Linked DNA regions of Arabidopsis thaliana. The protein of the gene in region 1 interacts with the protein of each later gene in a pairwise test. Each region holds a gene or a part of one and is shown on either strand. Other genes may lie near its edges.

Region 1 (8,092 bases):
CTTGTTCCTTCTTTTGCATACACTGGAAAGATGTCAGAGTAGAAAAAAAGAAGAAAAAGTAAGTGATCCAACACCAGTTCATGTACACCATTAATTCTTTGACTGCTCTCTTTGAACTTGGTCACAATTGATCAATCAATTATGGTCATTTTATGTCTGTTGTTCGCCTTGTTCGTGACGTAACTGTCGAAACAGTTGAAATCCACCTAGATAAAAAGAACCAATTACTCAAAAATTTAAGGAAATCATAATAATAATAAGAAAAAAAATAATGTCATAAATTATTAAATAATATTAAGCATATGAATAATTTGATTATGATATTAGTTTACAAATTTAGTGAATATATTTGTTTCTGTTTCAAATAATCATATCTCTACTGTAAAATAATTATGAAATAACAAAACTTGACAATATGATGTATAAACAACACATGTTTAGATATTATTGCAACGCTTCTCACTTAAGTTCTCTTTTATACTATAGTAGAATGCTATATAGTCCGGTAACAATTTAAATAAAATATTCTTAACCAACTTTCCCAAGATGCAAAGAAAATTGATTTTAGAACCTCTACTTTTTTGGTATCTACTAATACTATATATCTAATCATTATATAAAATTCTCCCACCAAATTGATCAATGGGTCATCTTATCTTTATCGCCTTTTGCCTTTGTGACCATAAAAGGGTTTGAGAACTTGCATGACAGCCGAAAAAGGTGTGAATATTCATTGATATTAACGTGGCATTCCTATGAACACATAGAAACGTATAATTAAACTTGCTAATATTTTCATTTCACTATTATTTTCAACATCAAGTGGGATATTAATTTCTGAACTGAAGATAACTAAGATATTAACCGGTTCAGTTAACCGATTCCTTGCATTCTATAAATCTGACGCACCATATTTCTTCTCATACCACAATTACTAATTAACCAACTCAAATCTTGGAACTCAAGAAACAACAATGTCGGAGATGGCCGGAGATTCTTCAACATCAGAAGATAAAATCCATAAACCAAACCGCGAGAGGAATGTCTCCGGCGAACTTGACGTCTTCGAAGCCACTCGATATTTTTCCGACTTCAACGAACCAACGACGATCGAGTACTCAAGAATCCAAATACAGAAACAAAGCATTGTTACAGAAAATCGACAGAAGAGAGTACACCCTGAGACAGAAGAACACCTCCCTAAACCTAGAGTCGTCGTCATAAAGCCGCAGAAGAAAGAGATGACACGTGGCGGCGGTAAGAAGCTAACCAGTTTCTTGAACTCTCTTCTTCGCTCAGCTGGTCTAAAGAAGAAGTCAAAGTCAGCGCCGGAGGTGGAGACACCACGAGTAGAAAGGATGAGGAGGAAGAGCTGCGTAGTGACTACACACGCCGCAGATGCTTCGCCTCTCACCAATGCCGGCGCGTGGAGTTTAAACGCGCGTAGAAGAAGCTTTGATGAGAAAGATTTGAAGAAGAGTGATCAGAAGTTGAACATAAGATTTTGTGAGAGTCTGTATTCGGACCAAAGGGTTGAGACAAAAGACCCAAATGCAGGAGACAAGAACGATGTAATTGGTGGATGCGAGAGTGATTCAAGTTCTGAATCTGATCTTTTTGAGTTGGATTTGTTTGCTAAATCAAACCCCTAATTAAGAACGGTCCGGAGAATAATTTTCTAATGTAACTTCAGTCTTAATTATTATCATGAAGCGAGGTTGGACCATTTCCACCTTGTACAAAGTTATATTCGTCCATTCATATGTTGGGATATTTTATATTGAAAACTAGCTAGCAGAATTTAGTCAATTGGGAATCTACCAATAGTAAAAAAAAAACCCTAACTCGATGTCACCAACATCTCCTTTTTTAAAAACCCTAGCAATCATCGATTCATCTTTCCACCCTTCTATGACAACACCTATCATGCAATTATTCTATATCGTAGAAACAATTTTGGGTAAAATTAAGTTGATGGGCCTCCCCAAATCATGCATCTTCTTTCCCACTCCTACTGTTCTACTCTATGTATGAAATTGAAATAAAGTATACAATTTTTTTTTAAAGTATTACGCAATTAATACTCCAAACAGTTTCTTATACATATGACAATGCTCATAACAGTTGTCAGAGCATGTTGTAAAAAGCAATTGTTATAATATAAAAGCTGCTCTAGAGCACGTTGAAGAATGAAAAGAATGGATCTGCTGTGTCCTCGCACAAGATTTTTGAAAGGGAATGTATAATCTTATTTAAGGTTTGGTTGACAAATAAAACCTATTTAGCAGAAAAACATTAACAGAAACGAATCATTTAGGTACCCACGAATAACAGTAACCTTCTAAGTTCTAAACAATATTGAGACTACTTTTTGTCTATTGGTTGATGATTGCGTTTGAATAATAGGTGAATTTATCAATTATCATATAGGGATCAATATATTTGTTGGCAGAAAATAATAAATTACTGGGATACTTTTTTGCATGTTTAACATATATCATGTTTCATGTAAAATAACATATATCATGTTATCATGTAAAATCACGTACATTTTTGCCAACGTGAATTGATTGCTATTTATTATAAAAATACAATAATTAATTCTATTTATATTGGATTCTTTCATCCGTATTTTTGGCAAATATATAGTCAACATATGGTCAACATATTTATCTTAAATAATCATGCCGGGAATATTATCCTTAATAAAACCAACTAATCTATAAGAATATATATAACATTAGTGTATTTAATAAACCATTATTTTGTGAAAAAATATATCAACATCTTGAAAAATTTGTAGTTAAAAATTAAAACTGTTTTTATTTAAAACAAAAACCCATAGATTAGTTAATTCATATTATATTTTCTATCTACCACATGTATAAGATTTGCATTACATATTATTGAATTTGAAAAGTTTTATTCTAGTCAAATATGGTTTATTTCCTTCTAAGTGTGATCATTTCCTCTTCTTTTTTTCCAGCTGTAAAAACATTAATTACTATTTAAGAGGTTACCCAAAGAAAGAAGAATTTAATAAACCTTAAGGAAAGTCTTCTAAACTTTTTTTACAAAGACTCCAAAACCGAATCAGTTCTTTTTCAAATTTTTACTACAAGTCTATAACGTTTGACTAAGAAAATTCATTATCTCTTGGTCAAAGCATCAAGTCAGTAACAATGGCCAGTTTCAAATTCTTCTTTGCAGCCATAATTTTGGTTCTGTTTCATCCGGCAGCAATAACTTTTGTTGCTTCGTATGGCTCATTACAGGTAAGCTACAGCTAAAATTATTTACTTTTCAATTTTCTTAAAGGCTATTTCCACCTTGAGATCCAAAGAAGCCATGCGAATTCTGAGATATTCATCAAAAATTTTCTTCGACGAAATCAACTCGAATCTCTATTCACAATTTAGCGATATTTAGGGATATTATCATTTATGTTACAATTTAGGATTCTTACATCAATGCAGCTTGGCGATCAATGCTCATCGGACGAAGACTGCAATGTTGGACTTGGTTGTTTTAAATGCGGTATAGATGTTGCAAGATGCGTTAGATCCAATATCACAGATCAGTTCTCCATTGTGGTTAGTAATAAACAACTTTTGAATCAAACTTTATTAAAAATGTGGTGTTTAAATATAAATTTTAATATATATATTTGAGTGAAACACAAATCCAATTTGGTTTTAGGATCATAACTTAATGTAAGATTCTTAAGAGATGATGGATCATTTAGTCCACTAATTTTGTCGTATATCTTTACGATTATGGATTGTTAAACCCATTAACCCTTAATTTCTTTACCAAATTATAATTTTTAAACCAATTAGTATATATGTTTGGTTCTACTTGAATACTGATAACACTAAAGGTGAACATAATTCTTCCAACATAAGCCTCTCAGTATTGAGATATAGATGTGTTGATATATTGACATAAGATAGGCTTGATCTGCAACTCTTGACTATGTGGGGCTTAACTCTTCTACTGAATTTTTTTTCTTTGTTACAGAACAATTCGATGCCGTTTAATAAATATGCATTTTTGACGACCCACAATTCATATGCCATTGAAGGGAAAGCGCTTCATGTGGCGACCCAAGAAGATACTATAGTTCAACAACTCAACGTGCGTTTTATTAATCAATAGACAAAAAATATATGTTACTTCATTATTATTATTTTTCTATCTTGTGAATGTTATGTTTTTGTTCAGAGTGGTGTTCGAGCATTGATGTTGGATACGTACGATTACGAAGGAGACGTATGGTTTTGCCATTCCTTCGACGAACAATGCTTTGAGTTCACCAAATTTGTAAGTTTAATCTCTAAATTTCTCTAACCAAAAGAAAACCGAGTCAAACCAAAACAATTATTTAGCAAACGTTTGAAAATAGAGACTGGTTTAGAATATAAGAAAGTAATAAACAAAAGAACACAACTTTTTTTGGCATTTTCAAAATAATCTCCCTTTTTGGTTTACCCTAGTGTGTGTGTGTGTGTGTGTGTGTTTGTGCAACACGTTTGTGTTTTCAATTTGCAAAATGTATTGTGAGACACATAATTATTTGCTTTTGAAACAATTGGAGCGTTAGTTTTGTCTTTTATTGGAAGAGAAAATATCCTAACATGCAATGTTTTGGTATAAATGATTTAATTTGGCTTGTATTGTTTTGTTATGTCACTTTTTTAGAATCGGGCGATAGACACATTCAAGGAGATATTCGCGTTCTTGACAGCGAATCCATCAGAGATCGTGACATTGATCTTGGAGGATTACGTCAAATCGCAAAACGGGTTAACCAAAGTATTTACCGATTCCGGTTTGAAGAAATTTTGGTTTCCGGTTCAAAATATGCCTATAGGTGGCCAAGATTGGCCGTTGGTTAAGGATATGGTCGCCAATAACCACCGGTTAATCGTTTTCACTTCAGCTAAATCTAAGCAAGAAACCGAAGGAATAGCTTACCAGTGGAATTACATGGTGGAAAATCAATGTGAGTGTGATGAGATACCAAAATTCCGGTTTAATTTTAGTTTGTTTAGATATCACGGATTAATCCCAACGTGGTATTGATTGTTAGATGGAGACGATGGAGTTAAACCAGATGAATGTAGCAATAGAGCAGATTCTGCACTGTTAACCGATAAAACGAAAGCTTTGGTTTCGGTAAACCATTTCAAGACAGTTCCGGTTAAGATATTGACTTGTGAGGAGAACTCTGAGCAACTTCTCGATATGATTAAGACATGTTACGTAGCCGCAGGGAACCGATGGGCCAATTTTGTCGCCGTCAACTTTTACAAGGTAAGGTTATATTTATTTTTAATTTTAATATCTCCTTGAATGAATTTTAAACTTTAATAACTCCTTGAAACAGAGGAGTAATGGAGGAGGAACGTTTCAAGCAATTGATAAACTAAACGGAGAGCTTCTATGTGGACGTGATGATGTGCATGCTTGTTAATTTGACTTGAATTTAACAAAATGCATTAGTCTTAAAGCTCGCCTTAGTTTACAAGATATTTTTAAGATATATATATATATATATATATCAAATTATTTTAAACATCTGGCTAATCTTAGCATGCATAAAGCATTATATTTTTGGGCTTAGTTTAACTCAAGTTTTTTTTAAAATAGGCTCCAAATGGAACAAAAAATTAAAGGAAACTAAACATTTAGATACCTACGAAGTAAACTTCTGAAATCTGAACAATATTTTGACTGTTTTTTTTGTCTATTTGGTTGATCCGTTGATTATGGCGTTTGAATAATAATACGTGAATGTATCAATTGTCATATTCGGTGGTAGTTTAGCAAAAAAATAAATATGCTTAAAAAAAAAGCAAAAAATAAATATATGGGGTGGCAAAAAAAAAATTGTTGGGATACTTTTTGGCTTGATGTCAAAAAAACAAAAAGGTAATAAGGAAATTTTATAATCTCAAAACAAAATTTATTGGGCCGACCCGCCAAAAACACATATGTATTATTGGGCCAATCCGCCAAAAAGCCCATTTATACGATGGAAACAAAAAAAGAAAAAAAATATCGGTATCGTCTTCTCTCTGGTGTTTTCCAGTAATTCCCTGAGAAGTAGAAGTAGAAGCGAGAAGGAATTCGAAGAAACAGATTTCAACAATGGCGGCAGTTCAACAGCAACAAGCGATGCAGAAGAACACTTTATACGTAGGAGGTTTAGCTGATGAAGTTAACGAATCGATCCTTCACGCCGCGTTTATACCTTTCGGCGATATCAAAGACGTGAAGACGCCGTTGGACCAAGCGAATCAGAAGCATAGATCCTTCGGATTCGTTACTTTTCTTGAGAGAGAAGACGCTTCTGCTGCTATGGATAATATGGACGGTGCTGAGCTTTATGGTCGTGTTCTCACTGTTAATTATGCTCTCCCTGAGAAAATTAAGGGTGGTGAACAGGGTTGGGCTGCTCATCCACGTACGTTTCCAATTACTGTTTCTCTTCTCCTTTTGATTTCTGAAATTTGAGCTATTGATAATGTTGATTTGGGGGTTTATGAAATTAGGGTTTGCAATTAGTGTTCTTTGTGATTTATTATTGATTCTGCAATTAGTGTTGTTAGATTTGCGGATTTGAAGTTAGGTCAAGTTTGTATTTGCTTCTCGATTGTATATATGATTAAGCTGAGAGGTTGTCTCGTTGTTTAACAAATGGGACTTATTGGTGTTGTTGGTTTGTTTCAGTTTGGGCAGATGCAGACACATGGTTTGAGAGGCAGCAACAGGAGAAGGAGATTCTGAAGATGCAAGCTGAGAACAAGGCTGCCATGGAGACTGCTGAGGAGCTTCACAGGAAGAAATTGGCGGAAGATCGACAAGGAGAGATGGAGGAAGATACAGATACCAAAAATGATCCTATGGCCAGAGCAGAGGCTGATGCTCTAAGTCACGGCGATGCCTAATGAAAGTAAGCGTTACCGGATTCTCTTATGCACCTTGTCCTGTAGGATAACAAGTATGTTTTCGCCTGAGTGTGTAACACTGTCACTATCACCTCATAGAGTTTTTGAGGTTAGATTGTTTCTTGAGGTTGATTACCATGTTATTGCTATAGTTAATAGATTTGGTAGTTTGGTGAAACTTGCTTGCTTAGAAAAGTAAGAGTCATGTATCTAAACCGGATGCTCTTCATACAAAAAGGGTCATCACTAATAACAAGAACCAATTGCTTTTGACTCAAAGAAGAAAACCTAAATCCTACTCGGAAAATTTAAACCTGTCAAGCTTAGACCCCGCTTGTTTATCCATAAACCAAATCAGATTCCCATTGCTCGGGTGGACTAGCCTTGCAGGCAGAGACAGAGAGCTGTCTGGTAAGGGCAAATCATCGATTGCTAAGTGGATAGCATTGGCTTTGGATTCGCCGGTTGCTACTACGACAACGTTAGCAGCTGAGTTGATGACGGGCAAAGTGAATGTGATTCTCTCTGGTGGCGGTTTATGAGAGTCGGTTAGGAATGTGACCCAATCGTCCTTCACCTCAAGTGCTGGGTGGTTCGGGAAGAGTGAGGCTACATGTCCATCTGAGCCCATCCCAAGCAAGATCAGATCAAACCTGGGACTGTCACTGTTGTCTGACGCAGCCACGGTTCGTGATCTCACCATCTGTCTGATGGCGAATTCATACTCTGTTGCAGCTTCCTCCGCTGAAACTGTGTCGTTAATGGAACATATATGTCTCGGAAACACATTTACCTGAAAATAACAAAAAAAAATCAAAGTCAACATTATAACAAGACAAAATACACAGCTGTATTGACCAACACCATGATTGGATAAGTTTCCAGATCGTCCATTTGTTTTCTTCACAAACAAGCAAAGATTGGGGCAAAAAAAGTCAATAGATTGCAGAATCAAGAAAACAAGACAACCACAAGAATACAAGATTCTTCTATCCAAAAGTCATCAAGAACCATTCCGAACAATCTAACCTTGGAGAGTAAATTATCTTTGGCTAGCTTGTAGTTGCTATCGTCATGATTCTTAGCTACCACACGCTCATCCGCCCAGAAAACATACCATTTCGCCCAATCTACAATCT
Region 2 (7,132 bases), 3.8 Mb from region 1:
GAAAAAGGACAAAAAAACATTTGACGTGAAGGGCATAATTGTATTCAACTTGGAAGTCAAATTCAACATTACGACTTACGAGGGCAAAAGATTCTAGGGTTGTGCTCAGTTTTAATTTTGGGGTTTTACTGAAACTGATATTAGCAAACTGAATTCTATAGTTTTCATTCAATTGTATGAATTATAGATTCCAATGCCAGCACTGAATACATCTTGTCCAGATCTCTTTTTGCCTAGTAGAAATCGCATGTCCCGAAACGAGTTCACCAGTGGATTCTGTCTAAGCAACGACCAGTATTGGTTTAGATCTCTCTTAAAACTGACTACGAATATACAAAAGTTTTTGTAAATTTACACGACTACTAATTTATTGTTCCAACAAATTTGAGTTTTGAAACCAGCTCCACTTTTTCAATCTTTTCCGTACAGATGGACTTTTGTTATCATAATTGGTTTTCGTGCCAAATCTCAAAGTTTTTGTTTTCCCTCCTTTTTTGGCCAATCTCACTCTCTCACACATAGAGAAATTACTAAACATTACATTGAAAAGAAAAAAAATATTACTAAACATCAACAAAATCAATTATTTTTATAACAAATTGCAAACTCAAATTTGGAGAATTCTGCTCTCATTGCCAAAATACTAGTTAACGAATAGTCTGTAAATCAACTGAAAGTTTAGGCACTATAAGGTAAGGGTAAGGATTACTGTTCAAGTTAAGAAATATGTAAACATATTGTTGTTTATTATTATTTTTATTAAAAGGTTTTCATTTTTTTAGGAGCATACGAAAACATATAAATTGGACCATACCCATTACATGATGAACAGAGGAAACGCCCACAAGGGGAAACCAGGCCCAGATAAGAGAGGCTCGTGAACACACATGGGCCACAAAGCCCAAAAACACCTAATTTTTGTTTAATAATTGATATGTCCGAGAGACCGAGACCATAGTTTTGAGTTTAATAATAATAATTTATTTTTTATTTATCTGTTATTTCTGGGGGTTATGCTTAATTACACTGTTCATTTTTACTAATACAATAAGAATATTGATTTCCCTATTTTTATTATTCGGGTTGGATAACTAATACAATTTTGGCTTGGATTTAATCGTTCTCAGTTCTCCCTTCACTCGTCCCAAGAAATGATATTCACAGCTTGGTTTTGCAATAGAAAGTATTTCACTAAATCATAGCTTATCCATTATTAACTACGTTTAAATTGTCTAATGTATGGCGTATGGGAGATGGGCCTAAATTCCAAGACATAATCACTTGTAGTAATCTTTAGAACACTCTACATGGTCTGCTTACTAAAACTTAGTTAATAATGAACTTACGAGAAAAATTCAGGTCATCATTTGAGAAGAAGTAAAAAGTAAGTAATCAACTAGACACAAAAAAAGAGAGGGTAAATTATAAGCAAAAAGATAAGTAATTTTAGGAAAATGAACAAATTGATTAATAAAAATAATGAATATACCAAATTTTAATACTATCATGGAAGCGTCCCCAAAAAAAAAAAAAAAATGAGAAATGCATGAATTAGTAGTTGGATACTTTGTTCAGTTTTGTTGCTAGGTAGGATATATATATATATATATTATTTTTTTATTGCTAGGATATTTTGTTGGTACAGGTTATATTTCTGCTATGGTTTACCAAAAAGAAGTACCTTGAACCCAACCAACAATGGATAGCTAACATTCGCCAAAATGTAATAATTTGACACGCTTTCAAGAAATAATAATGATAGTGATTCAAGAACATCTCCGTTTATAAAATGTACATATACATTGCTACATTAGCAACAAGTTAAACAAGAAGCAAAAGACAAGAGTTTCTTCAATATAATAGTCAAATTTCCAGGAAAGAAAGAAAAACCCACCTAATCCAATAATAATAAAAAAAGAGAAGAAAATTTCCCAAAATCAAAAACCCTAAATCGAATCAAAATCCTTTCTAATAAGAATGAAATAACCCAAAACAGCACAAACCGCAGCAACAGCATTGCCTTCTTTCAAAAGAACCTTAAACACAAATCCAAACACTTCTCTTGTAATCTTACGAGCTTCAACAACCAATACCCTTCTCGATTTCCCAAAAAACGCAAGCAACACAACCACCGATATCCAGATCACCATAACCGCCGGAACCGCAACCGCAGCCGCCGCAACCATCGACATGGCTCCAAACACAGCTCCTAACACCACAGACGCGTAAACCGCCGGTAATCTTGACGGAGACGGCGATGACGTGTACTGGAGCTTGTACCAGCTAAGCACAGATGTGAGAAAGTTCCATGAGGAAGCCAGGAGAATCGCGTAGACAGCTACAAAGAGACAAACCCATGTCCGTCTCTTGCTCATGATTCGCATAAAGATAAGGTACGATCTTGGAGGAGAGCCATTCGATGTTCTTGGCGATCCTGTTGGATCCATCATCGGCGATCTGATTGAGATTTTTTATTGAGGGATTTTTTCTTTCTTTGTGTTGGAAATTGAAATCTCCGTGATTTGAGATTTGTGCTGAAGAACTAGAAGAAGAAGAAGAAGAAGAAGAAGAAGAGAGAGAGCACAAAAAAAAAAGTGAAAGTCTTCAGATTTGGGGAAAATAGATTAGTTCACGTGAGTCCCACTCTCATGTTAAAGCGCGTGTTAATCACTCGTTGGTTTAGAGGCTTGTAGTGGAGTACACGCGCTTAAGTTTCGTTTTATTTATTGATTTCCCCCAAAAGAGACCAGACATGGAAATTAGGAACAAATGAATATACATGGAAACTGCGTGAACTCACTCTGATCAAAAATATTATTATTTCCATTAATATCACTTAATTACTCTTTTCTTCGTTTATTTCTTTCTCCTCTCGGAATTATGAAATTAAATACTAATGACGAAACGCGATTTCTGTTTATACCATTTTTTACTTCAACAAATCTGTTTGAGACGTAATGCATTATCTTCTTTTTTTTTTTTAGTTTAGTCGTATAGCAAGTTAGGGACAAACAAACAAATGCGATTTGTCTTTCCTTTTCTTTTTTTTAATGCGATTTGGCTTGATAGTGCGCCTCTACGCTTATTATAGCCGACAAACTAAAATAAAAGAATCGTCTATTTATTCTAACCTTTAATGACATTTTACCTTTTTTGTTTTGTTTTGTTTTGTCTATCTTTTATGAAGAAGACTCTAAAGGAACGAAACTTCTTGACGTTCACCGCTAGCAAATTCTTGAATGCATGCGATTGTCTTTTTCTTATGGAAGTCTTAGCTTTTTCTCTTGAATATGGATTTTAATATTCTTCCGTCTAGTCATCAAATGAGATTAAGCATTTATCTACAATATATGGAACACTAATCATATAAGTTGAGAATCTACAATCAAACATTTTTAAAATTGGATATGGATGTGGTATTGTATGGTAAACCATCTTCCAAGTAATTGGACATTTGGAATACTAAGATTTACTTGGCATATGAAACAATTTAACGTCCCTTGACATTTGTAACAATTTCACGTACGAACGATTGCAACGACTTTGTTATGTGTCAAACGCTTTTCTAATATGGAAGTTGACACGACTTTGAGAATTAATTTGTAAGAACATTAAACAAATAATCTTCCAGTTTTGTAGTCTTCTATTGATGTACACTTCAAAGAATCTTCTAGTTCATAATCCCATGACCGGAAACGGAGTCCAATTTTGCCATACAACACGGTCGCGATGGCAAATTGGCAACACCGCATGGTCCGCATGCCGATGAAGGTGTCGGCATCCTATTGACGATCTCTATATTTAATACACTTTGATTTTTTTTTAAAATAAGTAAATGAATTAGTTCTAAAGACATCGGGCTGTCGTGTGAGCCAAGTAAATTAAAGTATTTCATAAATTATTCTATTTTAGTTATTTACAAACACACGCGTGTGCACATGTATTTGGCAAATTATTTGAGTCAAACAACATCTTCCTATCACAATTCTGAACTTCTTTATACTCGTGATTAATTTCTTATATTTTTGTCTTCACTGTTTTAGTCCACATGTTAAATTATAAGAACTTCATACACGAAAACTAAACAATTAAAAAAAAAAAAAAAAACTAAACAATTAGAATAATTTCAAACGAAATAAAAAGTCAATACAATTAGTCTTGTAAGAGCGATGATCAAATAGATTGAAAGACTATAATAATGCTCTAAGTTTATTTTAAAATTTTCAACCAATTTTATCTACCATTTAAAAGGTTGACAAAAAAAAAATGTTGACTAAAACAAGTCTTGATACAATTATTTGAATAGGCTGAATGATGATACCAATCAAACTTACATTTAATAAAATCTGAACATTTTAAAAAATAAAAATAAATGAAAGAGAATTCCATGAATGATGATGAGATAGAGCCATAGAGAGACTGAGAGAGAGAGATGTGGAGAAAAATCTAACTTTGGTCGACGAAAGGCGGCTAAGTTGGTTATTGACATTTAGCTATTTTTTTTATGAATCCGTTCATACATCGATCGATGATAGTGACTCACTCTACGTAATCGTTTAATTAGTCAAATCTGCTACAACTAACAAATAAAAATCTCCCCTTTCCTTACATATTCTCTCCGCAACCCTCTTTGATTCTATTCAACGCTTTGCCTAAAGTCAATCTTCATCAATTTCTCTCCATTCCTTCACTCAATTCCGGCCAAAGTTTTGATTTTTCCGGTTCGAATCACTCTTTCTGGGGATTTCACAGTGTACTGTGTGTGGTCTTCCGAAGAAGAAGAAGAATTCAAAAATACGATCTTGTTGGTTTTCGTGAATTGGGTATTTCCCGCTGAGCCGTTGAAGTTGTGTGTTTGTTCTGAGTGGATTGAAATTAGGGTTTAGATTTTAGGGAAGTGAATGGATTGGGTTGTGAATAATAAAGGTTAAGTTTTTCTGTAGATTGGTTATGTGTGTAGATTCATGTTCTAGAGAGCATACGAATGGGTTGTGTGAATTCTAGGCATAGGCCTTTTAGAAGAAAGTCAACAACACTGAAAGAGTCATCAGAGGAGAAACGTTCCTCTCGGATTGATTCGTCGAGGAGGATTGATGATTGGATTCAACCGGAAGATGGGTTTGATAGATTGAGTAACAGTGGAGATGCTAAAGTTAGGTTGATTGAATCCGAAATGTTTAGTACAAGTAGGTGTCATGATCATCAGATTGGGAAGATATTAGAGAATCCTGCGACAGTTGCTCATATGGATAGAGTTGTGCATGATCAGGAATTGAGAAGGGCCTCTAGTGCTGTTGTAGACTCGGACTTGGATATTGATCCAAAGGTTGTTAAGGCCAAGCTAGATAGATGGAATAGCAAAGATTCCAAAGTTCGGTTGATTGAATCTGAAAAGTTGAGTTCTAGCATGTTTTCTGAGCATCATCAGATAGAGAAGGGAGTAGAGAAACCTGAGGTTGAAGCTTCGGTTCGAGTGGTTCATCGGGAACTGAAGAGGGGTTCAAGCATTGTTAGTCCAAAGGATGCAGAGCGGAAGCAAGTGGCAGCAGGATGGCCGTCTTGGCTGGTCTCTGTTGCTGGTGAGTCACTAGTGGATTGGGCTCCACGACGAGCAAATACTTTTGAAAAGCTGGAGAAAGTAAGTTTCTTTTGTTACCACTCTTTGGTCCAGATCCTGTTTCTGTTTAATAGAACCTTCTTTCTTATGGATGCAGATTGGCCAAGGAACATATAGCAGCGTATACAGAGCTCGCGATCTTCTTCATAACAAGATTGTTGCGCTAAAAAAAGTCCGGTTTGATCTTAACGATATGGAAAGTGTTAAGTTTATGGCAAGAGAGATCATAGTAATGCGACGGCTTGATCATCCTAATGTCCTGAAATTGGAAGGATTGATCACTGCCCCTGTCTCATCGTCCCTTTACTTAGTTTTTGAGTACATGGATCATGATCTCTTAGGACTTTCTTCACTACCTGGTGTCAAGTTTACAGAGCCTCAGGTACTGCACATAAATGTTGAGCTACCCTAATGTCAAAAGCATAGATTTTTCTTTCCGCTTCAAAATCCGTTTCTTTTATGTTTCTGTTGTTTAGGTTAAATGTTACATGCGACAACTTCTAAGTGGGCTTGAACATTGTCACAGCCGTGGCGTTCTTCACCGTGATATAAAAGGCTCAAACCTACTAATTGACAGTAAGGGAGTCTTGAAGATAGCAGATTTTGGGTTAGCAACTTTTTTCGACCCTGCAAAAAGTGTTTCATTGACTAGCCATGTTGTCACTCTTTGGTACCGGCCACCAGAACTTTTGCTTGGAGCCTCTCATTACGGTGTTGGGGTTGATTTATGGAGCACAGGTTGCATCTTAGGTGAATTATATGCCGGTAAACCGATCCTCCCTGGAAAAACCGAGGTATGCAAATTCTCGTAGATTTCATTTCCTCCAAATTCAGGTTGCATCTTGTTTGCTTCAACTCAAATGTAGCCCTTAATCTTTCTAGGTAGAACAATTGCATAAAATCTTCAAGCTTTGCGGTTCACCAACAGAAAATTACTGGAGAAAACAGAAGTTACCATCTTCAGCTGGATTCAAAACCGCGATTCCTTATAGGCGGAAAGTATCAGAGATGTTTAAGGACTTTCCTGCAAGTGTTCTTTCACTTTTAGAGACTTTACTCTCCATAGATCCTGATCACCGGAGCTCTGCAGATCGTGCCCTTGAGAGTGAGGTAACTGGTTCATGATGTTTTACTATGTTCTTGGTTTACTGAGATCATGGAAGCATTAGTGACAAAACTCTGTTCTTTTGTCAGTACTTCAAAACCAAGCCGTTTGCTTGCGATCCATCGAACTTACCAAAATATCCTCCTAGTAAAGAGATTGATGCGAAAATGCGTGATGAAGCGAAAAGGCAACAACCTATGAGGGCGGAGAAACAAGAAAGACAAGACTCTATGACGAGAATATCACACGAGAGAAAATTTGTACCACCGGTCAAAGCAAATAACTCTCTGTCAATGACAATGGAGGTAAGTAACTGTAAAAGGTCCTAGCTTTTATGGTCACAATGACCGTGGAGGTAACTAACTGTAAAGCAAATCACTCTTTTGGCAAATGCAGAAACAATATAAAGA

The links. Proteins that work in one complex are often made in the same cells at the same time.
Region 2: the proteins of AT1G13680 (region 1) and AT1G03730 interact in a protein complementation assay, tested with the Arabidopsis thaliana proteins (one large-scale study listed by BioGRID).

The regions. Positions count from the first base shown.
Region 1 is NC_003070.9:4,687,227-4,695,318, forward strand, and holds AT1G13680 (PLC-like phosphodiesterases superfamily protein), read left to right. Parts: upstream 1-3,066; 5' UTR 3,067-3,182; coding exon 3,183-3,275; intron 3,276-3,476; coding exon 3,477-3,593; intron 3,594-4,020; coding exon 4,021-4,137; intron 4,138-4,224; coding exon 4,225-4,323; intron 4,324-4,701; coding exon 4,702-5,005; intron 5,006-5,092; coding exon 5,093-5,316; intron 5,317-5,389; coding exon 5,390-5,476; 3' UTR 5,477-5,615; downstream 5,616-8,092. Other genes in the region: AT1G13670 (uncharacterized protein), read left to right, coding at 975-1,652; ATE1 (ATPase E1), read left to right, coding at 6,154-6,469, 6,736-6,953; PGL1 (6-phosphogluconolactonase 1), read right to left, coding at 7,249-7,746, 7,983-8,092.
Region 2 is NC_003070.9:929,071-936,202, forward strand, and holds AT1G03730 (pyrroline-5-carboxylate reductase), read right to left. Parts: upstream 2,916-7,132; 5' UTR 2,451-2,915; coding exon 1,947-2,450; 3' UTR 1,645-1,946; downstream 1-1,644. Other genes in the region: AT1G03740 (Protein kinase superfamily protein), read left to right, coding at 4,985-5,638, 5,715-5,999, 6,094-6,411, 6,500-6,727, 6,812-7,027, 7,119-7,132.